Linked DNA regions of Tamandua tetradactyla. The protein of the gene in region 2 purifies or fractionates together with the protein of the main gene of each other region. This does not show direct contact. Links are inferred from orthologs where the notes say so. Each region holds a gene or a part of one and is shown on either strand. Other genes may lie near its edges. The genes, in order: ACTR3B and ARPC1B.

Region 1 (15,625 bases), on a different chromosome or scaffold from region 2:
CTATTGATTTGATTGTCTCCACTCAAGCTAAATGCATTTTAATAGCAAGTTCTGAGAAAAAGGGGTTCTTAAACTCAAAGATTGTGGTTGTGATTAACACTATGGCCAGGCTACAGAGCAAGACATTTGGATGTGGGGGAGGAGACAGCAGGGCTGGAGTTGGGATAAGAGAGAGAAATAACAAACAATTATGATCCTCCAGGAGGTTACAGGCAAGTAAATCAGCAATTGCTTAAAAGGGTAAATAGTGCTATATCAGAGTAAGTACAGGAGGCTGTGGAAAGCAGCGGAATTGAAGTTAGGGAGCGGTGAGTGGGGTATGGGTGAGAAGAATAAAATTCAGGAAAGCTTCTGGGAGAGCACCACACTGGAAGCGAGCCTTGAAGGAGGTAATGGGGGAAGGACATTTGAAGTAGAGGACACAATGTGCATGACACAGTGTGAAAGAATGTGTTCTGCCCAGCAGGATATGGTCAGTCAGTATGTTTGATTGTGTGACTGCCTTCAGACCACTAGCTATGATGCTTCACACACTGGCTATTTAAGATAATTTATTAAGGGAGAATCACTCTATACCAAAGAGGAAGTGACTTGAGTTCAAATATATTCTGTGAGATTAGTTTGAATCATTGGTCCCTAGGAGAAGACACATTTTCCTTCTTCATTTTATACAACCAAGTGGACTGAGTAGAAAAGGCCTTTTGCGGGGGGGATGGGGTGATAGATATTCAGCTGAAATTGTACTACAAACATTTATTATCCCTCCTTCTATTCTATTCCATTTCATTCTACTAACTTATTATTATTTTTTTTTAATTACAACCACCTGCCAATCTCTGTGCTGGGTGCTGGGGACTGGTTCACAGATGAATAGGGCAGGATCCCTGTCTTTGTGCCACTGATTAGCCTTCATTTCTCACATGTTGGCCAGGAAAATAATCAAGGTGATGATCCTTGACTTTTACTGCTGGAAGACCAGGCAATAGGGGTAGCAACATAATTTATGGCATATAGTGCAAAATGGAAATGTGGGGCTCCCTGTTAAAATTTTTTTTAAAGAATTTCAAAATGGCTACAACAGATTGTTTTAAACAGAACTTGGAGTCCATCTAAGTGCAGATGCCTTTGCTTCTACACAGTTTACATGCCCATGAAGCTGGCCCTGCCATACACCATAGTCCTGCCCAGTGACTTGGGATTGAAGCGGAATAGGTAAGGCAGGAAAGAGGTCATAGTAAAAGAAGAGGAAGAAGAAGATAACTTCTAGTATAACTATCTGAGGCTCATATTTATATTAATCACCTGTAAGAGGTGCATTGTTTTCATTCGAAAGAATCTGTTTTTAGTCTGATTTCAGACAGTAAGCATTCTGATCCCTTGATTATTTTCAGAATAACTTCTCAGGGCCTTCTGTAGTTCTAGTTATTTATCATTATGTATAGGGGAGGATAATATTTTTTGGTTTCTATAATGCAAAACTGAGTCAGGAGAATAGCTGGAGAGGTGTAAGGAGGAAAAAAAAAAAGAAGTTTTGCTTTGGTGATGTTTGACTAATGATTACACTTTCCAAGACTGGCAAGCGAAAATTTGATTGGCATCAATTCTACTAGTTAACTGAGTTCTGAACAGTTGTATATTGGGCTGTGATAATGGATGTCTTTGCATCAGCAAGAGGGTTCACGTTTATTAAACCTCAGGGTATTGACACCTGTGGTGGGTCCATGGTAACCAGAATCCATCTCTATGAAACTGAAGGCTTAACAATTTAAAAGTATCAAACTGTATCGATGGTAACACCTGAGTGGTAAAGTAACTGTATCATAACAGCATATATTTTATATTTATATATGAATTATGAGATAAAAAATATTTGCAATCTCTTATTTGCCCACTAAAGAGAATTCTGAGAAGCATTTCAACTGAAACAAGTTTGAGTTATAACTGTAAAACTCCATTTCCTTCTTGGGAACAAAACCTACAGATTAGAGGACAGGAGTGGGCAGAAACGAAGAAACTTAAGAGCAGGAAGGATATGGTTTGAAAGGGCAGAGAAATAATTCTCTTACTGATAAGAGAAAAAGACTAGACACTGAAAGTGGAAAGGCATGTATGTGGGATGAATTTGAGTTTTGGGTGGGCAGGCTGAGAACGAGAGATGGTGAAAGGGTTTTTTTTTTGAGGTTTGCTGGATTGCTTACCCCATTCACCCCTCTTTGGTGTTTTCTTGAAATATTGCAGTGATGATATAGAGTACTTTAACTTATTTTAAATGTCTGTCCATTGCTTCTTTGAATGAAACTGGTTTCAACATAAGCACAAATGAGCCCACAGCCTTTTGCTTGTTGCAAGTGCAAAACAATGAACAGCTTACATGGGTACTAATTATTTCTAAATTGAGCTTATTTGTTTTTAAGACAGTAATGAGGTAATCAGCTTGGAATGACTGGAAAATTTTTCAGTGGTATTTTTTCTATATTTCAATGGGTTAAAAATTGAGAACTAATGAGGCCACCCTGGAATATTTGATTCTCATATATTAATAATTATAAAATAATAATGATAACAGAAACAAGAATAATAGCTATTATTTATTGAATATTTGCCATGTGTCAGGCACATAAATGATCTCTTCTTTTTTTTTTACACTAGCCCTATGAAGTAGGCACTATTATTCCTTGTATTCTTCCAAGAAGGAATCTGAGGCACAGAGAGTTTAAGTCACTTGTCCAAGGTCATACACATACCTAAAGATCAGAGCTGAAATTCAAATCTAGGTAGTTTGGCTTGAGAGCCTACATTTTAAAATTTTATCAATTTTGAATATTTAACTGTGAATGATAAAAGCTGTTATTCTGTCACCTTAGCACGATGACAAGTATGTCTCCTTGGTCACAAGGAAGACCTGGTTAGAGTACATGAATGGTTCAATCCAACTCTTCTCCACTAATGGAAAATGTCTTATATCTTACGTAATACTGAGGGCAGGTCTATTTTAACCCTGTTTTATACCTTAGTTATTATCACAGTAGCCAGAATAAAGCTGTGTGATTTTAGCCCACATTTTAGTACACATCTAAAATGAAGAGAATTATTTAGGAAAGCAGCAGCTACACAAACAGGGCAGTAATGATGTTAAACTTCCCATTTTAGAGAGTCTAGTATTTTTATAGACTAATATGAAAACTCAAAAAAAAAACCCTTCTTTACAGACAAAGACACTAAACTCTTTCCTACAGACAAGGAAACTAAAGCTCAGAGATGTTAAATAACTCATCAGAAACATATCTAAGTTTCTGATTGGGGATTTGGATACAAGTCTGAAAGACTCTAAGACATGTGATCTTTGCAAGCCTCCATAAAAAAGTAAAATTAATTTTACTCATTTTTTTCCATATAAATTAACATAGTTAAAAATGTTTGGGGTGGGCCAGGATGACTCAGCAGGCAAAGTTCTCGCCTGCCATGCCGGAGACCCGGGTTCGATTCCCAGTGCCTGGACAGGCCAAAAAAATAAAAAATTGCTTCAAGAAAACAGTACGATTTTCTCTTCAACTGATAGCTTTTTGTTTTTCACTCTTGGAACACAGTGGCTATATGCTTTTCTGCATACTACTTTTGCTTAGAATTCATCTTGCACCTTGATAAGTTAAAGCAAGCATAAGAAATAGTAAAAAAAGACATGGAAACATATCGTAATTTCCCCCCTGATTTTCAAGTACATATTGTTGAAATTGAGTTTCAATTGGATGAAAAGAGAAATTTAGCAGACATGGCCCCATGTATTGCCTTCCTACCTGTTACTGCACACGTATCCATTCTGCTTATTACCACCTCTTTTTCCAAACACATTTGGCTCAAAAAAAAAAAAAAAACCAAATAAATATCTGGTGTAGATAGTCTGCATGTCACAATTTTGCTTCATTCATTCCATTATAACTACACCAGATGCCTGCTGTGCTGCTTCTAAAAATGTTCTAGAATGAAAATTAATAAGGAGAGGAGAGGCCCCTGGGAAGCCAAATCCTTCAAAACCTGTTGCTTGTGTGATTGCACAATGGCAAGAAACATTTGGATTTAGCTTTTGGCAGTATGCTCTGTCCAGATTGCTTGGAGTTCAATTACACTACTCAGCAGTTTCATTTTCTATTGGCAAAAGAATTTGATTTTTTATTGGATACTACTCAGTTGGTAGAATATATAGTGATTGCCTGATGTTAGTTCATGGTTATTTGTTACTGGATTTAGAAAACATTCAAGGTAAAGCGCTGAAAAGTAGAAAAGTATGTTTGAAATTGTGAAAGTCTGAAGGACTGATTACTGAGATCCTTTCTGGCTCTACCATATATTATACCTGTGCTGGTTTGGTATCACTTTAGCATTTTCCTATTTTCTCAAGATCAAATGAATTACAATTAAATTTTAATCTATTCTAATTTGATCTTCAGTTTCTTATTTGATTAGCAGAAGTATGATAATATCTACCTCATGAGATTGTTGTGAAGATTAAATGTGATGATGTACTGAAAATGCTCTGAAAACTAAGTTATACTGTAATTCAAATTCTCCATTTGAACTGGATAGGAATACTGTTTGCTAGAACAGGGGAATTTACTAAAATGCACTCAGTCTATTTTGTTGAATGAATAAATGAAGTGAATTTGAATTGAAATTGGAAGGATGAATGAGTCTTGGAGGATAAAGATGAGGTAGCTGAAGGAGAATGTCGAAGACTGAGAGGACTGCATGATGACCTGACGATGCAGAAGGTTTGAAGAACAGTGTCTGTGGTCTGCTGTGCCCTGATGTGTCAAGGGGCATAATGTGAGATGAAATTAGAAAGGTTAACTTAGGAGCAGATCATAGGGAACCTTAAGACCCACCATAAGAGTTTGGGCCAAATTCCATAAATAATAGGGAGTCATTGAAGGTTTGGGGGAAAGAAGAATGACATGATATATAAACTTTCTATATTTTGTAATGATACCTTTTACAGCAGTGTAATTTGTCCAAAAGGTGTATTGAGTAGGCAAAAGCCTGGAGACAGGGTGGCTGGAGCAGGGGTGTGGGGAGGTTTTGAATAGTTCAGCAAGAACGACAGTAGGCATGAGAAGCAGGGTATGGACACAAGGGAGGTGGTGAGGTTGAATGAACAGGACTTGGAAGCTGACTGGTGTAGGAGAAGAGTGAGAAGGAGGAATTGAGGATGAACTTTCTAGTCTGAGTAATTTTTATTAATGGAGACAGAAACACAGCAGAGTTGATCTGAATATGTTTAGTGTTGACGGGATTTCCTTAACTGTTTTGTGTTTTTTTGGTCTGTTGTCAATTCTTTGATACACTCCAGCCCATCAACTTTAGTTTGGATCATTTTTTTCTCACAGTTGCCAACACATCAGGGAGGTCCATTGAGCTCAGTGACAGGCCCTTCCTCTTAAAGGAGAATGCCAACTACTTGAAAGGAATGGAGTACTAATTTTTTGGTACTCTTTTCTCTTTGAATTTTCATGGCAACAGAGAACACACAGAGTGCTCCTTCTTACAGCTCTGAGATTTAAGACTCACGGAGTTGCTGGGTGGGCACTTTTTAAAGAAAGCCTTTAGTTTTGTGTTCTTTTTTTACTTCTTGGCCCAGCACAACCAGTTAAATGCAGGAAATGAAGATCTCATTGCCTGAGTTTTCATTGACTAAATTCCTTTGGATAGCCAATGTCTAAGCCCTGCTTATTTTGTTTTTAAAATTGTCTTCATATGCATAACCAGCATCAAAAAGTGTTCATTGAAGTTCATTTGAGAATGGTACTGGGATGTTATAGCACCCAGGATTGTAGTCATGAAATAGTTATACCATCTGCCATGGAGGGGATGCTAAATTCTATCCAGGAAGTGTTATGGTATCCATGTTTCTGCCTGTTGGGATGGGGCTGAGTAGGTCACTTTTGGGTAGAAACACAATCAAGAGATTGACTCTCCTGTGAAATAGAGCTGATTAAACCTTCCCTTCTATTACAAGCAGAGCACAGGGAGATAGGCTGAGCCACACAGAGTAAAGAAAAATATTCTGGACTAACAGGCATTTGGTAGCAGGCATTTTGCAGTGTATATTAGAGTGAGCAAACCTCATTTGCAATATAACTAATAAAAATTGTACTTGAAGTATCTCTTGCAGGATGTAAGGTTTATCTCTGTGGGTATTGTACACTAGGCACTATAAAAAGTGATGCAATAGCCTCTGATCTATAGGAGTTCACAATCATTCATTGACTGGTTACAAGGTCCCAGATGATGTCCTGTGAACTAGAAATATAAAAATATATAAAACATAATCCTACTCTAAGGGAGCTCCCTGTCTACTGGGGATTATAGTCCTGCAACAAATTACAATGCCATCAAATAAACACTAAAGTGAAAGTATGTATGATGCTTTCTGTGAGCACAGAGGAGAGGGATTAGATTTATGAAGTAAAGGTGTGCTTCATAGAGATGGTAAAGCTAGAGCTGGGTCAGCAAGGATGAGCAGGTTAAGTAACAATTTCAAGCAAAGGCAAGATTATGTAAAAAAGGCATAGGGAAGTGAGAATATATGGCTTAATTAAGAAAATTATGGGTGATGCAGAAACTATTTCGTTGTCTGCACAATGAACATTTGCCTCTTGCTGACCAAATTCAGCATCAGTCAGGCACCAGCTGCCATATGCTTCAAAGGACAGGACATCCCTCTCCAGCCTAAGGGGTTTGTTTTCAAAAGTTTGCCATTCACAGTACAACAGTATCCCTTGCCAATAACTGTTTTTTTTTTTTGCATAGGCTGGTTGATGAAACAAGCAGGGAAGCTGCCGGGGACTCCTGGAAAAGTCTTTCTTCCCTCTTTGAAAGATAATCAAGATGGGGAATTTCTTTTTCCTTTCTTTGTCTGTTTTAGTGCATGCAGCTGCTGTAGCCATCTTGCAATTGCAAGGGATGGGCCTGAGGACAAAGGCCAACACACAAGAGGTTGGTAGAACAGAATGTATAGGTCCACAATGATGTCATTGAATTGGTGGAGTTCTCTTAGAGTTACTGGATTTCCTATTACATGAGATAATAAAATTTCCTCATTGCTTATGCCACTTTTAACGAGGTTTTCTCTTACTGTGTATGAAAACATCTTAACTGATACCTTGAGGGTTAGTGGTATCTAGAGGAAATCATTGAAGTTAGAGTCTCTGATTTATTTCCTGTCAGCTGCTGACCATGGCCACCATTCCCAATAAATTCTATGCAAAATCCCTGTAAAGGAAAACTTTTTATTACCAGCCAGTTCCAAATTCCCTCAAAGGCGTATTTCCTGGTGAATGGACAATTGTTTGGGTTACCCAGGCTGCTCAAAGCAGATATCATGAAATGGGTTGGCTTTAAACAATGGGAATTTATTGGCTTACAGTTTGAGGCTGTGAGAATGTCTAAATAAAGGTGATGCTTTCTGCCTGAAGACCAATTGCTGGTGATTCTTGACTCCTCTTCCATGTGGCAAGGCACATGGTGGTATCTTCTGGTCTCTCCCTTCCCTTATAGGTTCTTTGCTTCCAGCTTCTTGTTTCCAAGGCTTTTCTCCTCTCTCTCTCTCTCTCTTTCTCTCTCTCTCTCTCTGTATTCATTTCAATTATAACGGACTCCAGTAATAGGATTAAGACCCATCCTGAATTAGGTGATTCACATCTTAACTGAAGAAGCCTCATCAAATGGTCTTATTTATAATGGGTTTACATCCACGGGAATGGATTACATATAAGAACATGTTTTTCTGGGGTACATGTAGCTTCAAACCACCACAAACATACATGAGCCTTGAGGTCCTTCTTGTTTTGTGCAGATTGTTTCCCATCCTAAAACACTCTCTCATTCTCCTCTGTCTAGTTACCCTCTATTCATCCTCTGGGTTTCAGCTTAGATACTATTGCTCTGAGAAGTCCTCACTAGCTGACAAGTCAGAGTTGGGTGCCCCTCTAGTGGCTTTCCAAGCCTTTTGGACTTGCCCTATCTTAGCACTTAATGAACTGTATTGCAATTGCCTCTTAACTGCCATTATCTCCCATAGAAACCGATGTCTTGGGAGCACAGACTGTGAGAATCCTGCTTACTGTTGCAAGCCCAGTGTTTAATATAGTTTCTGCCTTACAGTAAACACTTAATATATATTAAGTGACTGAAAGAAAATAAAAGACATCATGGTGCCAAGCCAACAGTCTGCAGTCCTAGAGTATATCTATGGCATTTTGGCTAGTGCCATGAAAAGTGGGAGCTGGGTAGGCATTGGCAAAACTCAAAGTAAGCAAGTTAGTGTTTTGCCCATATGGATTATACTTGGGATCCTATATTGGTATTCTTCTACACTGCTGCCCTTTCACTTTCCTCACATTTTCTATTTCTCTCTCCAGTTCCCCTGAAAATTTTCTAGGTCTGGGGCTTATTTGACCCTTTTAAGTAATATGGGAACAATAATGATTTATCCAAGAGTGATCAACTAATCTATTACTTCTCTTAGGAAAAAAACACAGTGCTTTAAATACCAGTTAAAACCACATAAAAATTACATGTCTCCAAAAGTTCATAAAAAATTTTCAAGAATTTATGATAGGGTAGAGAGCAGGAAGCAAGTTGGACTTCCAGTATCCTCATAACATAGTAGGCAGGTGTTTGCTTACTCTGATCCATGATTTCAGTAAGAATTTTTGGATGATAATTTTATCTTTGATACCTGAAAATATGGCATAATATTAACTAACCCTAAGATAATCTCTTAAGGCTGGCTATGCATATGCCTTGCAGATTTTTCTTTTCTAGAGGAAATTAGTGTTCTGCTAGGTATAATAACTAACAGTCGTCTCACCTGCCATGCTGGAGACCCGGGTTAGATTCCCGGTGACTGCCCATGCAAAAAAAAAAAGGAAAACTAATAGTAAATTTCTTCAGGGTGAAAATTATTCATTCATTCAACATTTGGGTGCTTCCTATATATGTGCCAGATACCATGCTAAGCACAGGGTAACCTGTGGTGAATAAGACAGACATGAGCCCTGTCCTAGTAGAGCTAACAGATCAGTGGGAGACAGACTACTAATAAGTAGAAAAAGTTTGCTCTAAGTGCATGAATGAAAGCAATTCATTGCTGAGACAGAATCAGGTGTGGGGTGGAAACCTAATTAGGTTCCCTGAGAAGGTGACATTTGAAGTGGAACTTAAAGGATGAGAAGAAGCCAGGTCTCGGAAATGGGGTCACCTTCACCATAAATCAGTCAAATATAAATACCAATCTCTTCGGCCACAAGGGTACCATCCACAACGTATAAGCACAGAAACCTCATACCAGCACTAAAGATGGCGAGAGAGGGGAGGGGGGCATCCTTGCGCCGTGATTGGCTAGGACAGAGGGAGGAGCGTCACGTGGCTCTGCCGCGGAGCATCCGGGCTCCCGAGAGCGGTGCTGCCTCTGGCTACCCGAGCCGCGGGAGAGGCGGCCCCGTGGGCGGGGGCGAGGCAGTGGGACCCACGCGTATAAGGCCGGCCGCCGCGATCGTAGCGGGGGTGTTCCTGGGCCGCTCGTCTAGGCCGAGCGGTGCACGCCGCGCCCGGCCTTCCGAGCATGGCGAGTTACCTGCCTCCTTGCGTGGTGGACTGTGGCACCGGGTAAGAGCCTTGCCATCTCCATCCCCTCAGTCCGCTGGACACCCTCATCCCTGTTCCTCCCGCTTGCTCTGGTCTTCCAGTTCCACAGGCGTTGAGCAGTTCCTTGTGGCCTCCCTCGCGGACCCTGCAGCCTGAGGTATCCCGCCTTCTCCCCTGGAGGTAGAGGTAGCTGAGCCCTGGACTCCCGGCCTCAAGCCGTCTACCCACCTGTGCGGATAAAGGCGGCGGCATCTCCACCCTGCACATCTCCTACCCCTTTCCTTAAATATTTCGCCTTTAGATTTTAAAATTCTCTTTTAACTACCAGTAAAGGTGTATCTTCCGGGGCGCGCAAAAAGGTCACTCACCTTGAGGAAAGGGAAAGAATGGAGAGGGAGTGACGGGCCCCATATAAATCTGTTTTGATTCTCTTCGTGTCCTACATCCTCTTAAGTGCTGGGCCGAGGTGGGTACCCCGAACTTCCAGCCGCAGTATCGCTGAGTAGGACCCTCTTAGCATCTCACCCTTGCCTTGAAAGCCAGTTTATTTAGGTGCTTTCAACCTTCTGTTCCTGCCATCCAGTATTCTTAAGTGGCGCTTATTCAGTGCCCACATCAATTGTGTTTTATTTCTCTTTGCTGATGATTTACCACCTAGTTACGGAGATGTTTATATAGTCCTATCGACTTGATACCCTTTTTACTGCCTTCTTTTCTTTTCCAGTATTAAATGGCTCACTCAGGAGATTAATTCTTGTTAAGTGCTTGCTTTAGTTTGAATAGACATGCCCTTTAGCTTAAAAATGATGTGGGTTAAAAGACTCCATTTTGAAAAACGGAAAGGTTAAATTTGGGGAAGCTTGTTTGTGAATTAGGTTTTTATTTTTTTTTTTTTACCTTTTTTGTGATTGCTTCTTTTACTGTTATTAAGATATACAAAGAAGACCTTAGGTAATTTCTTGTACTTTGAATGGCCCAAGCTTCCCTGATTTTAGAGAGGTGATTGCTGAATCCACAATGCTGGTAGTTTGGAAATTCAAGCTTGCCTGCTTACATTATGGATAAAGTTCTTAATAAAATTGCCTGGAATTAAATTTACTTGCTTGAAGATTTGTCAAGAAGAGATTTTAATAATCGTTGCCACAAAGTATTCCATGGCCTGTTCACCTTAACCTTGATTCTTTTTAGTAGAAAAATACGCTTGATTTTGGTTTCCTTGACAACCTAGTGTGGGTGTCATCTTCAATTTGTTACAGTCCCTCTCCTTGTGATTTTTCTTTCTTTCTTTTTCTTTTGCCATTGAAACTACTGCTAGTGATTATAAGCTGGAGAAACTGCCTCTTTGCTAACGCTAATTCTTCTTTTTGAAATATACATTGTGCCAGACTTTTGGTGGCTCATTATTTCAGAAGTTATTTTACTGCTCAAAACATGAGCTAAAATCAGTATTGATGTTAACCCCAGGGAGAAATTCTTGGCTCCCTTATCCATCTTCTCCTCTCCACCCCAGACTCTCTCCAGTTTCAGCGTTCACCTCACACCCCTACTTTATTTAGGTCTAGTTGTATCAAGACTGAAAGCAACAGGTAAAAATATTTTTTCATTTCCACATTTTCATGTGAGAACTTTTGCTTTCATATGTTTGGGTCTTGTAAAACTAATAGAAATATCAAGCATTTCTTAATGGTAGCAAGTAAAATGATATCCACAGAGTTTGTCATACCTTTACTATGAGTGAGCTGGAGATCTTACTTGTCATTCTTGCTATAAATATGTAAAATGTTGTGTGAATTTTTGACCTTTTGAGGTAAATGCTGAATGTAGCTTTGTGGATTCTGAGATACAACTTTAGTTATCATTGTTTTATGGTCCAAAGTCATGCTGTTGTCTTCAGGCTCCTCAACTTAGAAGTGCTGGCAGGGCTTCCTCTCAAAGGGTTTCACATGGACATATTCTGTCATGGAAACTTCTGTAATTCATCATGAGCTCCCATTGTCCAGAGTATGGCTAGAAGAGTCTAAATTTATCCTCTTAAGCATGTTGGTAATCCTTATATTTTCTAAAGAGCTGAAATTGTTTCACAATTGAGTTTTACCTCAAAATAGGATAAAAATGATAAAACATAGCCAAAAATAACCAGGTTCAAGGAAAAGAATGGGCTTGGGGAGTCATCTTAAACTTAGGCTAGTGCTTCCTGTAATTGGGCCTCTGATTTGGCCTTAGTCTTCATGACAAAGTTATGAGAGTTATGTGAGTTCGTAATTCCTGTTATCAGGAAGGAAGAGAAACACCTGTTTCTCAGGTGAAAACAGTTCTTTCTAGTATGAAATTCTAAAAGAAAAAAATTCACCTTGAACTATACTTAGTGGACACTGATGATTTATGATCCTAACCAGGACCATAGCAAATAGATTGCATTCTGGTGGCCTCACATCCGTTAATAAATCAGGGACCAACTAAGTGAGGAAAAGTGGGCTGTGGACCAAGACGGTAGTATGGACCAGGGGAGATCTGCTTGATCCAAAGTTAAAGCTTCGTCTGTTTAAAGGAATAGAGAAAATATTTCACAAATACCAGTCTCAGTCTCTTAGCTGATTTTTGAAAATGATTTTTTAATTGAGATGTATATTCACATACCATATAATTATCTAAAGTATATAATCAGTGGTTCATAGTATTATCATATAGCTGTGCATTCGTCATCACAATTGATTTTTGAACATTTTCATTACTCCAAAAAAGAAAAAAAGAATAAAAATAAAAGTAAAATGAACACCCAAAACATCTGATCCTTTGATCTAACATTCTCTGTTAGAAGAATGATGGGTTTTGTGTACTTCCTCAGGATGATGAATACTATTATTTCTTTAGCCTTTTGACAAAGGAAGCCTTCCTGAGGAAGAAGGAGTCCTAGGAGGATAAGTGGCCCTATCCAGTGTCTCCCTCTTCCTTTATTTTGACCACCATGCCTCCTCTTTATCCTTTATTTTGACCACCATGCCTCCTCTTTATCCTTTATTTTGACCCCCATGCCTCCTCTTTACCTGTGTCCCTTCAAACTTCTAATGTGAAGCTCCTCTGTTACAGCATAGACGGGATGAGCTATTATAAATGTACATAGGAGAAATAATCCAAAAAAAGAAATGGGAAAAAAATTTGACTAAGTACATCATAAGAGGAAATAGTATAAATGTTAGCCAATTTTTTAATCAAGATTTTTGTACTTTTTAACTTCTTATTTTGAAATAACTTCAAATCTACTTAGAAGTTGTAAGAGTGCTGCCCCCGCCCCCCCAAAATGTGATAACAGGTTTGCTACCTGTTAATAGTTTGCCACATTTGCTTTTTATTCTCTGTGTGTATCTACACATGTTGTTATATTTTTCCAGACCTGTTTGAGAGTAAATTGCAGATGTCATGCCCTTTTACATGGAAATATTTCAGTGTACTCTTTGTGAGAGCAAGGCTATTCTTTTATATAACCACAGAATAAGTATCAAAATCAGAAGATTTGATGTTTATATAGCAGCAACCCCCCCACCCCCCAGCCCCCCAAGCAAGGCCATTTGTGGTGAAATGGCATTTGATTGTCATTGTGTGTTTTAAGTCTCATTTAACCTGGAACATTTCTTAGCCTTGTTGATTTTCAAGACTGACATTTTTGACAGCCAGTTATGGTGAATGTCCCTCAATTTAGTCTTGTCTGATGCTTCTGTATATTTAGATTCAGTTTATGGGTTTCTGTCAGGAAAACCACAGAAATGATGTTTAGTGCATCCCATCAGGAGGTCTGAGATACCCCTTAACTCACTGTTGATGAAGTTGACTTGTATTTTTTGGATAAGGTGATATCCATTAGGTTTCTCTATTGTATAGTTAATGTTTTTCCCTTTATAGTTAACCCATTTGTGGGTGGATATTTTGAAGTTATATAAATTCCCCATCCATCAAACTTTGACCTGTTAGTTTTACTGTCCACTGGTGATTCTTGCTTGAATTGATTGTTACAATGATGACTGCAAACTAGAGATTTTCTAACTCTAGTGTTCTGTGTTTGCATTTATTAGGTAGCATTTTACTATAAGGAAGAGTTTTCTATCTCCTATATTTATTTATTTATTGTTTTTATAGATTGTTATTTTACTCAAAGACTTGTAACCCATTGTGTCATTTTTATTATATGCAATGGATTATTATCTATTATTGCCAGTACTTGTTTTTTTATGCATTTTTGAGATACATTCACATACCATATAATCATCCAGAATGTACATTCAGTAGCGCTCAGTATCATCATATAGTTGTGCATTCATCATCATAGTCGATTTTTGAACATTTTCATTACTCCAAAAGCAATAAAAATAAGAATAAAAATAAAAATAAAAAAGAGCACCCAAAACATCCCATCTCTCCCTATTATTTACTTATTTATTGTCTTTATTTTCATACTCATCTGTCCATACACTGGATAAATGGAGTTTCAGTCACAAGGTTTTCACAATCACATAATCACACAGTAAAAGCTATATAGATACAGTCATCTTCAAGAATCAAGGCTGCTGGAACACAGTTCAACAGTTTCAGGTATTTTCTTCTAGCTGTTCTAATACACCAAAAACTGAAAAGGAACATTTACATAAAGCATAAGAATAACCTCAGAATGACTTCTCTACTCCATTTGAAATCTCTCAGCAACTGAAACTTTATTTTGTTTCATTTTTCTTTCCCCTTTTGGTCAAAAAGTCTTTCTCAATCCCATAATGCCAGGTCCTGGCTCATCCCTGGAGTCATGTCCCATGTTGTCAGGGAGATTTACACCCCTGGGAGTCATGTCCCATGTGGGGAAGGGCAGTGAGCTCACCTGCAGAGTTGGCTAAGAGAGAAGCCACATGTGAGCAACAAAAGAGGTTCTCTGGGGATGAGTCCTAGGTATAATTATAAATAGGCTTAGCTTCTTTGCAGGAATAAGTTTCATAAGGGCAAGCCCCAAGATTGAGGACTTGGCCTATTAAATTGGTGGTCCCCAATGCTTGTAAGAATATCAGGAATTCCCCAGTGGGAAAGTTTAATATTTTCACATTTCTCAAGGGGACTTTGCAAGTACTTTTTTATCTTCTGCCCAGATTACTCTGGGCTGTATCGGTTATCACGCTGACCTGTGCAAACCAACAAAATCTCACTCCCTATTCAAGGTTCCAAGTACTTATGGTGTTTGAATAAATTGACTGTACAAGTTATATTAGATAGTGTGCTAAAGAAAATATAAATTCTGCACCAGGTAAACATCTCTTCTTTTGGTCTTGTAAAGAAGTTGAAGTTTGAAAATACAGTCATTATCATTCTGTATGATGTATTTTGATTTACCTTAGTCGTATCCAGTTTGGCTTCATTCATCTCTCTAATTGAAGTCTCATCTTTTTTCAGCTTTTTAAATAGTTGCTGAATAGGGTAAAGCTGACTTTCCTAGCTGCAGAATGCTAGCTCTGAGACTCAGGTTTCACATACATACTCAAAGTTCCAGGGGATGACTGGTTTATACACAAAAAAACTCAGCATCTCAGAATTTAAAAATAAGTTACAACTCTGGAATAGATATGACTGTGTAAGAGTTTACAGTCTAGGAATCTTTATAATAAGCCTTCCCCTGATAACCTATGCTCTCAAATTCAATTCTCAGGGTCTGCGCATATAGTTTAGTCCTTATTAGTGAGGCATTATAATGTTTGTCTTTTCATTTCTGGCTTATTTCACTCAACATTCTGTTGTCAAGGTTCATTCACCCATTTGCTTGCCTCACAACTTCCTTTCTTCTTGCAGCTGCTCAATATTCCATTGTATGTATACACTATAGTTCACTCTTCCATTCATCATTTGATGTACTCTTACTTAGGCCACCTCCATCCATTGCAAATTGTGAATACTGCCACCATAAGCGCCAATGTGCAGATAATCCATTCGTTTCCCTGCTTTCAGTTCTTCGAAG
Region 2 (14,816 bases):
CAAGCCATCTCCGCCCCGATAGAGAGAAAGGATGAAATGAAACGATCCCATACACCACAGAGTGAGCTGGCCCCCCCACGCCTGCTGAGACTGGGGAGGGGGGTGGGGAAAGGGTCAGTGTGCAAGGGCCTGTTGGGGGCGGGGGGGGGGCACTGCACCTGGGACCAGGGGAGGGACCCGACCTGTAGGGGTGTGTGTGTTGGGGGAGGTGAGGGGTCTCCAGGGAGACCCTGGTGGCCTGGACATGGGGGAGCCTGGAGGAGGAGGGCTGCAGCCGCAGCCCAGTATTGAGGGCAGCCCCCGACCTGGCCTCCCACCTCCAGCCGGGGCCCAGCCACACCCAGTTCCCCCAAGCACAGCCCCTGCCAGCTGCGCCCTGGCCTCCCCCCAGCTCCCAGACAGCCTCTTCCACCTAGCTCGCCCTGCCTCAGGTTACCCCCCTTCCCTGGCTATCTAAGGCCCCGCTGTAGCACTGCACAACTCTATGCATGGAGCTGGCCGAGCCAGGCCTCCTGGCCTTCACATGTGCTGTCCCCTCCACCTGGAGGGCTGCGACCTCTCCCGGCCTGACTCTCCTTCAAGGCCAACTCTGTCCCTGTCTCACCCGTCTAGTCTCTGCACGCTGTTCCCCCTCCCCGAGTGCCCTTCCCTGCACCACTCAGCAAACCCCTCTTCCTCCATAAGACCCCAACGTAAGCATCAATTCTCTGACTGCCTCCCCAACACAGCTTCTCCCTGCAGGCTTCCGAGTCACCCAGACCTGGAGCCCAGCGGTGCTGGCTGCCAGCCGTGTGACCCCAGGGATGGCCTCCATGCCTCCGAGCCTCCATTTCCCCATCTGCAAAATGGAGGCAGGGATCCCGACCCTCCTACCCTGCCAGGGTCACTGAGAGGACTAAATTTCATGCCACGCAACTCCTGGTCCACAGTGGCTGTTCAGGAAGCGGAAGCTTCCATCTGCACAGGAAGCCACATCCCCAGCCTGTCAAACAGGTGCGCCCCTGTCTCCAGCTTCGCACCAGCCAGTGGCGCTGTGCCCCGAGATACCCACCCAGCTCTCTCCCTCGCTGCTGTCCTTCAAGTCTTTGCTCAAAGGCCACCTCGGCAGGGCCTCCCCTGACCATCCAGCTGCCCCAGCTGCAAATCACCTGGTTTGCTTTACAGCAGGAAGTCCTGGCAAGGTCCCAGGGTGCCACAGGCCACCCCTTGCCCCCAGATGTGTGTGCACGCGCGGGGCAAGGACTGCACGTTCCCCTTGAAACAAGGCACGCCTGGGTGCTCAGCACTGGCTAAGAAAGACAGCAAATGCCCATGGCCCACGCTCATTTCCAAGGTCACGGATGGGGCAGGGCTAACGCCAGAAGCCCGCTCCCAAAGTCAGCCAGGATGTGGGGGCACCTGGACTCCAACTACTCCCCTCCCCGTCCCAGGACCCAGGTGGCCCGGAAGAAAGGAGCCCTGCGGCTGCAGCCTGGGGAGCCCCGCAGCCCAAACTCGGGACCCTGGCTGGTCAGTAGATCCTGACTTCCCAGTGCCAACTGTCCCCCACACGCTGTGCATCCAGGCACGTCTCTGCCCATGGTGGGGTCTTGAGTGACTGGACATGGTGGCAGTAAAAGCCTGTCCCAGCTGTGAGGGCACAGAGGCAAGGTCTGCAAGGACATCTTGAGATCCCCTACTAATTACATCTGTAAAAACCTTATTTCCAAATAAGACACATTGTGAGATTCCCAGTGAACATGAATTTTGGGGGGACTTCTTCACCCCAGTACCTCCCGTATGCCAATGCGTCAGGACAGCTGAGAGGACCAGAACGCCCTTACCACTGCTTCCCAGGTCCCAAAGGTTCTCAAGCGGGAGAGGGAAGGGGCTGGTAAGGACGGCCACACATAGTGTGACAGTGGGGAGGAAGGCTCGCAACCCAAACCTATCAGCCAATCACACTTCAGTGTGAATTCAGAGAGAACTACTTCGAGGCCCACTGAAACAACATCTTAAAGGGAGCAGCGGGGAGAGGTGAAGGGGTGGGGAGAGAAGACTCATTTCCCTTGTAGGGCAACTTCTGCAAAGCAGGGCCTCAGTGATAGCTCCCAACCCCCACAGATTACAAAGAGGAAGCTGGGGGTGGGGGTGGGGGCAGAGAGGGAAGCAGCCTTTCCAGGCCATCCCCACCTGTAGGTAGGCCCAGGAGTAGCCAGGACTTCCAACTCCTGGCTCAGGGACTATCAGCTCGCTCCAGGTGATTAGACCTATTTGGCTCTTTCAACCCTGAGAGACCTCTGATTTACTCAATCACAGGAAAAGCAGGGGTGGGGGTTGGGGGTGGGCTACTGCCCTGATGCAAAAAGAAAAAGGGCATGCGGGCTGTCTAGCCCAAGTAGACTGATAAGCAGAACCCTGCAGCGATGCTTCCTGCCGGGGACCAAGGCAGACTGAGGCCGTGGCCTCTGGGACACCCACCCAGATGTCACTGCAGCCCTGCAAGCCAGCCCCGTGGGCCCACTTGACTGTTGAGGAAAAGCGGGGAGGGGGGCTGGGATGGCGTTGGGATTAGGAGGCTTCTGCTCTGTGCATCCCCAGTCCGTCACCCCCAAATCAGAGTGGGGCTGGGAGAATGCAGGCCAAACCCTTTACAGGCTCCCCAGGGCAGCTGGCTCCAAGCGGGCTCCCCCTAGCCTGGAACCAGGACCTCTCTGCACCCCATGTCCAGCACACAGTAGGTGCTCAGCACAGATGGAGTGTGGTCACCCAGGCCCCAGGGGGGGATGCCTGGAGTGGTGGATAGTTTTGGGGGTGAGCGCTGGAGCAGGAGGCCTGAGGTTGGGCCCCTTAATAGTCACTATCCTTCTCAATTCCCTGCAGGGGAGCTGGAAGGGGTTTTGAATTTCTGGATCCATGGTCTCCAAAGTGGGGTGCCGTTTCCATCAAGGGAGGTGCCCAAGACCATGCCCCAGGGTGTGGAAAAAAATTTTAAGTCCCTTTTTGTCAAGAAAAATTTGTATCATTGAACATAATTGCCAGAAGCACAGGGATATTTATCTGTTTTGTTCACTGATATGTCCCCGACACCAATTAGAGTGCTGGGTACTCGATAAATATTTACTAAATGTGGTGGGATGAGTAAATCACATCCTTTTCTTCACATCTGTCTTGGGGGTTGTCCTACATAGAACATGCTGTGTTCGTTCAGGGTCACATGTATGCAACTTATAAATATTCATCAGGGAGTTATGTGCTCACATTTTTTCCAGATTGGAGCTAATGATCAGAGAAACCTGTAAACCTAGTCTTAGTGGGTCTTCTGACTTCAGAGTGGAGAGAATACAGTGTCCTCTCCAAAGCGAGCCAGGCCACTTTCACCTATGTGGCTTGGAGGATTCTGTTCAGGACCTCAGCCTCGGCGCTCTTCTTCCTTACAGCATTGGATTCAATTTCTGCCTCTCTCCATACCGGCTGAGTGCCCCAGGCCAGTGCTTCCCCAGAAGAGGCACAGGCTTTAGGTACTTTTTTTTGTCTGGCTCTGCCAGGTTTCTCTGAGTCCAGAGGCTAAATTGCAGCATTATTTGAGGCTAAACCAAGCAGGAACTGCCTGGAGCAGGATCTGGGCTCTCATGGAAGTCCCCACCCAGCTGCTGAGGGAGCTGCCAGGAGCCATTTTGCATGGCTTCCTGTTGTGGGTAGGAGCCCCCACCACGCAAGATCAGCCAACCTCTCCTCCCCAACTCTGCACTTGAAGTCCTACATACCCGGCACAGTAACATCAAGAAACACAAATTAAAACAATCATAAGATACCATAAAGCGACAGTTAAAGTAATCCAAACAAGACCAAAAAAAATAATAATTAAAAAAACACATAAAACTCAATGCTGACAAAGCTGTGGAGAAATTCTCACTTGTTGCTAATTGGTTCAGTCTTTCTGAAAGGCAGAGTGATAACATTTAATTCAACACTTGGGTAATACAAACAGAGCTAAGTTACATTAATAGAAACTTAAAAACTGTTAACACTCTCTGGCTGCATAAATCCATTTTTGACACAAGTAAAACAGCCCCTAAGATTATTTTATTTTTTCTAAAAGCAGTCATGTTCATAACAATGCTATTTATAATGGGGACAAGGTGGAGAAATCCAGATGATTACAAATATGGAAAAAGTAAATTGTGACACTGACATGTTGAAATGCTATTTAACTGTTACTAAACTAACTTCACTGGTATTTTGTCAAGAAATTCATAGTTTACCCAAGACTTTCACATGCATACTTTTACCACCACAACCTCCCCCCCAACCCCAAGCAAGCCTAAGAAGTTGTTTTGTTTTAAACCTTCATTTGTACAGTAGGAAACTGAGGTTCAGACAAAAGCAATTATTGACTCAAGAACACACAGCTCCCAAACTGCACAGCTGGAACTCTAACCCCAAATCTCAGAGGTCAGGTTCCCACGGGGAGATGCCTTGACTAAACGTGGGCCGGCCTTTTAAAATAGCTACAGGTAACAGCACACATATTTACTTTGCGTCTGAGACACTGCTAAGCCGTTTACACACATCATCCCACTTCAGCCTTGCAAACTGAAAGATGCCCATTTTCCAGATGAGCAAAGTTGAGGCTCAGAACTATAGGTGAGGCGCTAGCCAAGGTCACACAAGGTCCGTGAAGGAAGGCGGGAGACCTCAAAGTTGCTCTGGGCCCCCGGCTCACTGCCTGCCGGGCAGAAGGCGCCTGGGGGGCGGCCGGGAATGAACCCAGGGGGTCGCGGTTCAGCGCCTAGGCTGCGTTCCGCGGGCGAGCGGAGCGTCGCAATCACCGCCCTCGGGGCCAGCCCGGCCCTGCCGCTGCCCGAACCGGGGCTGGAATCGCTGCGGGCCCTGCGCGGGGACGGGCGGGGCCGCTCGGGCCGGGGCCCGCAGCTCGCATGAGCCAGTTTCGAGACCCCCGGCGCCCGCCTTCCCCCCCCCCCCCCCGCGGCGGGACCCGCGGCTCCACGGACTGGATGTGCTGCCGACGGGGTGGGGGGGACGGGGAGTGGGGCGCCAGCTCATTTCCCGGTTGGAGCAACCCGGAAGGCTCCGAGGACGGAGGGGAAGTGGCTGGGCGTGGGGCCCTCCCGACCCCAAATAACGGGGGGGAGGCGGCCCGCGGGGCAGAGTCGGGGTGACGCGGGGCCGGGGGAGGGGGCCGAGGCCGGAGGACGGCGCGCGGGGTCAGGACTGCCGGCCCCGACCGCCCCGACGGCGCCCGGGGCGCGGGGACCCTACGTGTCCCTCGGCCCGGAGCGGTGACCCGGCCCCGCCGCCCGCACTCCCCTCGCCCCCTCCTCTCCCGGCGGTCCCCGAGACCCTCTTCACCTCCAGACAGCGCCCCGCCTCGTCTCCAGGCGGCCCCCGCCCTCCTGACACCCCTGGCCTCCCGGAAGCCCGCCGCGCCCTCCCCGCGCCCCCTCACCTCGGGGCGGCCTCTCGTGACGCCCCCCCGCGCCCCCTCAGCTCCCGGAAGCCGCCGCGCCCCTCACCTCGGGGCGCCCCGGCCGCGGACTCTGGGCAGTCGACGCGCCGAACCGCTCTGGCCCCGCTCGGCGCCGCAGCCACTTCCTCGTGGGCGGGGGGCGGGGACCCGGGGCGGGGACCGGGCGGGCGGCGGCCTTGAGCTCCGAGGGCCCGCCCACCCCATCCGGGCGTGCGTTTCCCAGGCCCCCCGCACCGTCCTGGCACGTCGGAGCCCAAGCGCCCAGATGTCGTCTCGTCCGTGACCACCCCTCACTGCTTTCTGGGTGGGGAAACTGAGGCTCGAAGGGAGGGTGCGGGTCTGAGTCGCAGCGGGGCGGGGTGGGGTGGGCAGGGCGGGTGTGGCCAAGCAGTGGGCCCTCAGTGTCCTCACAGCAAACCCGGGTGCACACCCCCTCCCGCGCAGGCGCTCCCCGCTCACTGGCTGGGGCAGCAGGGTTTCTTTAAGGCTAACTTCTTGACCTTCCATTCCCCGGCAGTCTGCCTGAGGCCCCTGAATGTGGGTGCAGGACCAGGTGGTCCCTAGGGGCCTTTGGGTTTGTCAATGGAGATGTGGCCGGGTGGCTGGGCAGGTGGAGACCTGCCCCCTCTACCTTAGCAGGCCCCTCTCCCTAGGATTCATCTCACCCAAGGTTAGCCACAGAGCAAGAGGCAGCTGCCGAAGGGGGGCTGGCTCCCCATGGAGCTCCAGGGGCCTGGGGCCACTCCCCCAACCCTCCCGGGTCTCCCTGCTTCAGCCCAGGCTGTTCTTTCTGCCTGGAGCACTTTTCCCACCCTTTCCTCACCTGGCCAACTTTGGTCTGTCCTGCAGGATGTGGCTGAAGAATACCTTTCCCATGTCGCCCCCACCCCCACTTGAGGGGCCCTGTGTCCCCAAACCCAGCTCCCATCCTAACCACACGCCTGCCAGCCACCGGCTGAGGTTGGGAGGATGAGATGGGTCAACTTGTGGAGCCCCTCACCCAGGGAGCACAGTTTGTGCCCAGTGAACTTTAACTGAGGTGTTTGTGCCCAGTGAACTTGTGAGCATGACCCCCTGGGGGACGCTGAGGCGCTGCTGCCCGGGCTCCCCTGTCTTGCTGTTCCTGTAGGTTGGTTCAAACAGGTCCCAGCAGCCTCAGCAAATCCAGGTCACGGTTTTAGTTAAACCAGAGCAGTTTCCAATGGTTTGTCCTGGCACCCCCTCCTGTTGGGACAAGTGCAATTGAACTCATAGGTGGCACGATTGCCACCTGACTTCCACTCTATCCCTCCCCCATGACTGACACCCTGGGGGAATGGACCCCCATCTCTAACCCAACCAGCCCAGAGTATGCTGAACTGTCTTTGTGACCTAAGATGGCCCAAAGCCAAGCCCAAGACTTTTGATGATGATCAAGAGAAGAGAAGCCCCTTTGGGTGATTCTAGCCGCGAGGGGAAGCCAGATCTGGGCTGCAGCCGACCAGGAAACATGCAGAGGGGAGAGAAACGTGGTTCTGATAAGGGTCGTCCCTGACCGGAGTCCTGGTCAATCTGGCTGACCGGCCCAAAGCCCAACTTGCCCCTGGAGCCTTCGGCCATGTGCACCAGGGAATGTCCTTTATCTTAAGCTGGTTTGAGTTTTTCTGTTACCCATTACCAAAAGTATCCTAACAAATGCACACACCCAAGGAATCCCTGTCACTAATAATGGTAAAAACTGAACTGAGGTGGTATGATTGGAGGAAAAGCAGACTCATCAGCTCCCTGAGAGTAGAGGCCAAGTTTGTATTGCAGGGCCCGGGCTACAGACGGCACTGATAGTATCTGTGGAATGAGTGACTGAATCCAGTTCTGACTCTTGTCACTTAACTAGTGGTGTAACCTCAGGCAAGTCACACTTTTTGTACCACCTCGGTTTCCACAGCTTACAGTGAAGGTAATTGCAGTTATAGTGGGAAGATCCAAAGGATGGGAAAGCAAATCTTAAACTGGGAAGAGATGGAGGCATTATTTGAGATGGTTCCCTCAGGGGACAAAGTTTTGTAAATTTTAAAAGAAGCAATGCCTTGGGTGAGGGCAGCTTGGGCATGGAAGTTTCATCTGCAGTTCCGAGAATGACTTGGAGTGCTTTCTGTTTCTTCCTGGAATCCACTTCCCATGGTGCCCTGGGATGAAGGTGCCACCCTCCGTGTTCTTTTCCACCTTCTCGGGTTTCTAGGAAGTGCATTCACAGCCAGCCGGGCCAAGACTCCTCAGGGCTGACTGACTTGGAGGAAGGTAGTGCAGAACTGGTGCAGTGTCTCCAGGCCATCACAGTTCTGTCTTTCTGCTCCTTCCTTCTCCTCACTGTGTTGGCCTTTTGCCTCCTGGTCACAAGATGATGGCCAGGCTTCAGGCAGGGCAATTGCAGGAAGGCTGTGGGCTGGCCAAGGCAGAGGGAGACAAGGAGGAAAACCATCCCCAGGAGCCCCCAGCATTCTCCCCACTCATCTCATTGGCCAGGACTGGGTCCAGGTGATAACACTGGCTCACCTGGATAATCCAGCCTAATCTCCCTATCTCATGGTCCTTCATTTAACTGCACCTGCAAAGTCCCTTTTGCCATGGAAGGTAACCTCTTCACAGGGACTGGGGACTAGGACATGGGCATTTTTGGAGTTCTGTTATTCTGCCTACCACACCTATTATTTAAATTATATACACACACACACACATTTTAACATTTGACCCCGTATATAAATTATATGCTGCTCTGTCCTGACTGTTCCCCACAGGGTAGTTTTTCTCTCCTCAGCCAGACTGCAGACACCTTGGGCCTTCACATCTTTGCATCCAGATCTGGGCACACCGAGGAGCTCGGGCACTTGTATGACAACTGCTGAGCCAAACTGAAGACTCATGCCTAAACAATTGACCAGGGTTTAGAGGCAGGCTTGTTTTCTCAGCAGGATATTCTAGAAAAAACAGTTGGATGTTTTTGGTTTGCAAAATCCTTTATCCACCTCTTCCCTCTCTACTCCATTTTATGATTATGAAGGGTCTCCAGCCATCTACTAAAGGGCTAGTACCAAGCCTGAAAGCAAACCCTGTTTTACTGGGTACCCAATATGTAACACTTATCATGTACCATCCCCATTTCAGAGATGAGGACACGGAAGCTCAGAGATGTTGCTCAAGGTCACACAGCTTGGCAGAACTGTAATATGACACCAAAGCGTCACATCAAAGGGTTTGGTCAACATGTCCTGGCAGGCAGCAGCCACCTAGAACTACCGCATTGGTGTCCTTGTGGACTCAGACCTGATCTGAGTCTCAAAGGTAGGGTGAGAGCAGGAGGGAGCTGCTGTAATCTCATGACCCCGGCACTGCGGTAAAGAACAGATTTCCAGCTGTTGTAACAAGGATGGGCCTTCTTACAAGAGTGAGAAATGCAACCCCCATCAAAAAAAAAAAAAAAAAAAAGTATATATATATGTGACTAATAAGTTCTTGACTGAAAGTAAAATTTTTTTTTGCTATTGCTCTTGTTTTTCTTTCATGGAATCCATTGTTTCTCTAAAAATCTCTGGGCTTACACGCCAAACAGTGTGATTTAATGAAACTAAAAAGAAATTCTTAGCTAGCTCACCTTCAGTGGCTGCTTTTCTCTGGTGACAGCCTTGCTGATGCCGTGGTACAAACACTAGTCACAACAAACCCCTGCCGTTGAGTGTCCAGAGAGCACAACTGCAAACAGGGAGAGGTGGGTGCACCAGGCCAGCCTCCCAGGCAAATGGCTTCTCTCCTGGAGGGCAGTCAGGTTTTCTATGAATCGACAAAAAGCTAAAACTAGTCTTCTGAAAATATCATATCCCTTAGATACTGCTATCGGTCTCTAAAGGCAGGGGTGTATGGACTAGTTCCAGTTTCCCTGTCAGTGAGGTCACTAACAAGACCATTCTCATTTATTTTGCTATTCATTTACATATGCTTGGTTTGTACCCCTAAAGATTCTTGGCCTTGGGATGTTAAACTTAACCTCTCAGAATGATGAAAATAACTGGGCTTGGGCACAATAATCTCTATCAACAATGACACCTTTTCCCTTCTGTCCCGATGCATACTCCCTCGCAGCAGGCCCTTGTGGGGGCACCATCACAGAGGCTGCCCCTGCTGCGGCATGGGGCAGATACCTCTGGATCTCACAGAATAGGCTGCTTAGTGGCAGTGGGATTCCTTGTTGCCTTGGATGCAAAATGGGAATAGTACAGCTACTTTGCAGAAAAATAGCATTCAATAAATGGTTCTTTTCTCAATAAATGATTCCTGTAGGTTGCATGGGACATTGCATTTTATGAAACTAAGAATCTAAGCTATTCTGCCACTATACAGAAAATACATACCATTGATTCTTGTTATTTGTGGTAGTTATGTTCTATAAAGTCACCGAGAACACTGAATTAGTGAATACTGAACCACTGTTCCTAGGGAAATACAGGGTTAGGTTCTACAAGCCTTTGGTGGCAATATTTTCATCAATCAATGCATACCCTTGTTCTATGTGTTTCTTTTAAAAACACCTTATTTAATATATATTGTTGATTCATTAACATTGAACTCAAGGCCAATAGTGCTATAACTAATGCCTGAAAAAAGCTTATCTAACACATGTATTTTCTCCACAAGACATGTCAGAGCCTCCTTGAGCCCAGGAACACTGGATAGCATTTCAGCATTATGCTTGGGGGCCATTTTAAACATGAAATCACCAACAAAAATCACAAAACCAAGAAAAGCACGGCACTCGACATATGAAGGAAATGGACACTTGTTTACACAGTAAGAGAACTGAAACAAGAAGGCAGAGCATCACCTTGTTCAACCTCAATTGGAAATGTCTGTGTCCAGAGATTCCATTTTGTTTCTGCTATGCCCTTGTCTGCTAATGACTGCAAAAGTGCTGCAAATATTGATTTGGGGGGTTACAGATAAGCTGTAGCAAGTAGGTGAATTTGCAAATATGGAATCCACAAATACTGAGGATCAACTGTAGTTTACTTCCCCAATAATTAAGTTTACAGATCATTTACCCATATTTTTTTCTATAAAAGAATGGAAATAGTATAAGGAAACAAACCAAAAATACATTTATTATTTTATTTTAATTTCTAGCAGACAATTTACATACCTCCCCACCCCTTTCTTTAAGTTAGTGTAACAATTTTCCATAATAAATTGATTAAAGAGAAGCTTTGGTCAAGAATGGAATGAAAACAGCAAAAAAAAAAAAGCTACTGCTTCTTTTAAAAAACCAACACGTTCATCAATTATATTCAAACAAACACACAAATGATATTTGAACACTATGTTCTCAGTGTTTCTCGGCGGCTGGCTTTCCTCCCCATCATGCAAACGGCAGAGCTATTGTCAGTCGCAGTCTGTCATGCTAGATCCTGGAGGTTCACTCAGCTTCACATTATTCGAAGGCCCTGGATAGAAGACTCTAAAGTCTTCAAGAAGGCAGAAAGAACACGGATAATTATTGAGGCACTTTCCCCACAGCACTGTCCTACCAACCACTCTTCCTTGGGCTGCAGTGCCCCCCTGGCACCCACTCTCAGGCCTGCAGAGACCCTCCTGGACTAGGCTTTCCCTGGTGGCCCTTTGGGCCTGTGTGCTCCCTTGTCCCCACTACCCCAGCTCACAGGGCCCGTCTGATTAGTGCTTACACCTGCCTTGCCTCACTCTGAACGCCTAATGGCCAGCTCTCTTGTGTCTGCAGACCACAGCGCAGCCAGCCTGGTGTATGCCACACAGCAAGGGCAGAGGTGTACTGATTAGTGAGAAAAATACACTGGAACTTCCTAGCTTCTATAAGTGCGAAAATAAGTGTAAGTCCTCAGGGACTTGGCTGGCCTTAGGGATCAAAGTAATAAAAAGGGCTGAGCCGGGGATTTGTGAGAAAGATTTCTTCTATCACATGCAGCTCTAACTACCCAGGTGGTGATAATTACAGAGATGCTGAGATGCCTGGGACATGTAACAGTAAAAATGCATGTACCACTAAAAAGAAGGGAATAAATAAATAAAATAAAAATTTAAAAATTTTTAAAAAGGAAGAAAGAGACTTTATAAGGCATAAGACTATGTATTTGACCCAGGGACGGGGGTGGGGTGGGGGGAATCAAACATCATAGAAATAAATGCACAGGTAGTGGCAAAATTGTGTAAATATTTACCTGTTTTGAAGGTTTTCATCCAGGAGAAATTAAATTAATAGAGCTACATGTAGGAGTCATCTTCTCTTTTAACTCTATTCCTTCTTCCTGAGTCTACCTCATTGAAAGGCCCTGCCACCTGCCTAATCCCCAGGCTGGAGAGCATAAGAGTTCTGGATTTGCCCCTCACTCTCACTATTCCATCTGGCCTAAATCCTTTCCAATCCAGAACTTCCTGGCCATACCCTCTGCCACTGGTGGAGCTCACATTCTCATCACTTGTTTACTGGACTCAAAGGCTACTACCTAGACCCTAAGAATGCTCAACCCAGGCACTCAACACCTGGCGCTTTCCTACTTGAGTGCTGCAATAGCTCCTTATTGTCTGCAGATAGATCAGTGTCCTTCTGGCCATACCACAGATCTTTTTTTCTAGTCCCATAGGACCCTCACCACCGAATGCAGTGCACACTGTTTTACTTTATGGCTGGCCCTGCGTGTTCTGCTCTTGCAGCTCAGAATGCTCACCACTGCTTTCTCCATGACCCCCCACCCCTGCCTGTAACCCAGCAAACCCCACTGCATCATGAGATGCAACCTCTTCCCTGCTGCACTGGCAGTCTGTGCATCCCCTCAGATTCCTCGATGTCAGAGTGAAGGCACTGCTTTCTTTTCTGGGGCTGTACCTAACACCCCACTCAGTAACCACCTACCTCTTCTACAAGTCCTCAAAGTAAGAATTCAGACTCCTTTCCTCACTATCCTCAGTGCCTGGTACTTTGCCAGGACTTAATGTTAATTAAATTAATTTGTACAAACCGTAAAAATATATCCACACAGTTAAACACAACTGATCATAGGGCCTGCTTAAAAAAAAAAGAAAAGCATTCAATTTTTCCTCAGTGGATAAACGAATATCTAGAAGTAAATATCCTATCTCACTGGGAAAATATGGCTTCTTCCTGTTAATAACTTCAAGGTTTTAGAGAGAACTACAGTCTAACAGCCTATATTTCTGATGTATACCAGATATGACATTTTGTTTCAAGGAATGAGACACAATCTTCTCACAGGAAGTGTTTTAATATAAACAAGATTTGTTCTGAAAGGTAGAAAATACCTTGAAATCCCAAATTGTCATGGCTCCATCGATGCCAGTAGTGCAAAATTTGCGACAGTCTTGCTTGTCCACCTCATATATAGACACTTGACTAAAGAACACAAAAACAAGAGACTGTAAGGCACATGCTGGAAGTAAGCTCTGATCTTCCTGACTGGCAGTTTAAGGAAAATAATGATCTATTGTCTCCTGGATATTAAGTTTTCCATCAATATTAGGCTACAGCAATCTGACTCAGAAAGTATTTCCAGATGTCCAGAAAAGGAAAGCCTAAACAAGGGAATGGTGAGGAACCTGCATTAAGTAGAATGATTTGGAGAACCAGGATGGTTAGGCCGCACAGCACGCAAACTGCCAGGGGTAGGGACAGGTGGGGCCACAGCAATGACCTATAGGCCTGGTGACATCACCAAAATCCAACAGGCTCTAAACAAAAGCTCCCGGATTACCCTCCAAAACAGCCAGGGCACACAAATGAGAGCCCTCCTCGTGTTTGAAACTAATAAACTTTAGCAGCTGTCAGACAAACATGTTACAAGAGTTCAACCAAGCAAAGGAGAGCAACAGGTAAATGAAACAACTTCTCTTAGCATGGTTATTTGAAAAACTTTCAAGAAAATTCCACAACTCAGACAGTATTTTTCTTTCTCCTCTGAAATGTCTAGAGCTTATTTCCCCAGGGAAGAGAGTGACAAACTACAGTCTGCACTGCCTGATTCTGTACAGCCTGCAAGCTTACAGAGGATTTTTTTTTACTTTATTTTAAAATACTTTCAAAAATACAAAACAGTTACAAAAACGATGCAAAACTCATACAAAGAACTCCAAATACCTTCATCCCCCAGATACCCAGATCCATAAATTTTGACATTCTGCCACTCTTGCCATATCACTCTATCTTTCAATTTTCTGAATACTTGAATGTAGGTTATATACATCATGCACCTTGAACACTTACTACTATCTAAGAATAAGGATATTCACTTATGTTACCAACTCAAATACAGTTATCAAGTTCAAGAAATTTAACAAATAGAAAGCTTACAGTCTATATTCCAATTTTTTTATATGTCCCAATAATGTCCTTTGAGCCTTTTCTTCTTTGAGGGTAGGTCCTGTCTATAAATGTTCTTTACATTTTAAATGGTCAGGAGTGGGGCTCAAAAGAAGGACACTATTTCATGAGATGTGAAAAGCAAGTGAAATTTCAGTGTCCATAAAGATTTACTGAACACAGCCATGCTTATTCACTTACATACTGTCCACAGCTGAGTCGAATAGTTGTGGCAGAGGTTAGGCATGCTTTCTCAGAGCCTAAAATATTTGCTATCTGGCTCCTTACAGAACAAGCTTGTTGAGTCAGTTCTAGAGCAAAGAAGAATTAATTTCTGTAAGAAAAGTCAACATTCCAATCTGCAAGGGTTTGTCTTTTATTTTAAAATTTTTAATCTAAAAGTCTCAGAGAGACAATAAGTGTTGTTTCCCTTCTTGACACATAGTATGCATAGAAGCTTAAGAAAAATTCACAAGCCATAACTCTCAAAGTCACTCAAGACTGAGAAACTTGAAGAGTATGAAAAAACATAAATTCTGCACTGCCTTAAAGTTCTTACTTTGATAGAGCACGTACATTTTCAGTCTATTTTAAGTCCAGCTGCCCTTTCCACAGAACATGAAGAAATGCACAATCTGCTTTCAATATAATTCTTACAAAGAGAAAGCTTAGTGGTTTTCATTATCCCCCCTACCTCCATTACCACAATAAAAATCTCTCAACACAAAAGACCTAGTCAAAAAGAGAAAAGCCTGTGGTACCCAACATAGTAACTTAAAATATCAAGAATATATTGCATTTCTCTAATTAAAAAAAAGAACAAAAAAACCTTTCTGGACAATTACTTAATCACGTTTGCCTGCTCAAAAATCAGCCAAGAGAATCCTTAGCTTTGCCATAATGATCATAAGGAATTTTGTTTCTCTAAGTGATCTTCTGACTTGTATATATCACTTGAAATCCAAAGCTGAAATA

The links.
Region 1: the proteins of ARPC1B (region 2) and ACTR3B purify together in Homo sapiens (affinity purification with mass spectrometry; 5 studies listed by BioGRID and IntAct, counting the BioPlex papers as one, with this or other methods). This does not show direct contact. The link is inferred for Tamandua tetradactyla from reciprocal best matches to the Homo sapiens genes ARPC1B and ACTR3B.

The regions. Positions count from the first base shown.
Region 1 is NC_135327.1:197,435,496-197,451,120, forward strand, and holds the start of ACTR3B (actin-related protein 3B), read left to right. Parts: upstream 1-9,446; 5' UTR 9,447-9,619; coding exon 9,620-9,663; exon of another isoform or gene 9,664-9,831; intron 9,832-10,085; exon of another isoform or gene 10,086-10,108; intron 10,109-15,625. UniProt on the Homo sapiens protein: Plays a role in the organization of the actin cytoskeleton.
Region 2 is NC_135349.1:7,395,699-7,410,514, reverse strand, and holds the start of ARPC1B (actin-related protein 2/3 complex subunit 1B), read right to left. Parts: upstream 5,595-14,816; 5' UTR 5,517-5,594; exon of another isoform or gene 5,450-5,516; intron 1-5,449. Other genes in the region: ARPC1A (actin-related protein 2/3 complex subunit 1A), read right to left, coding at 10,921-10,959, 12,788-12,878. UniProt on the Homo sapiens protein: Component of the Arp2/3 complex, a multiprotein complex that mediates actin polymerization upon stimulation by nucleation-promoting factor (NPF).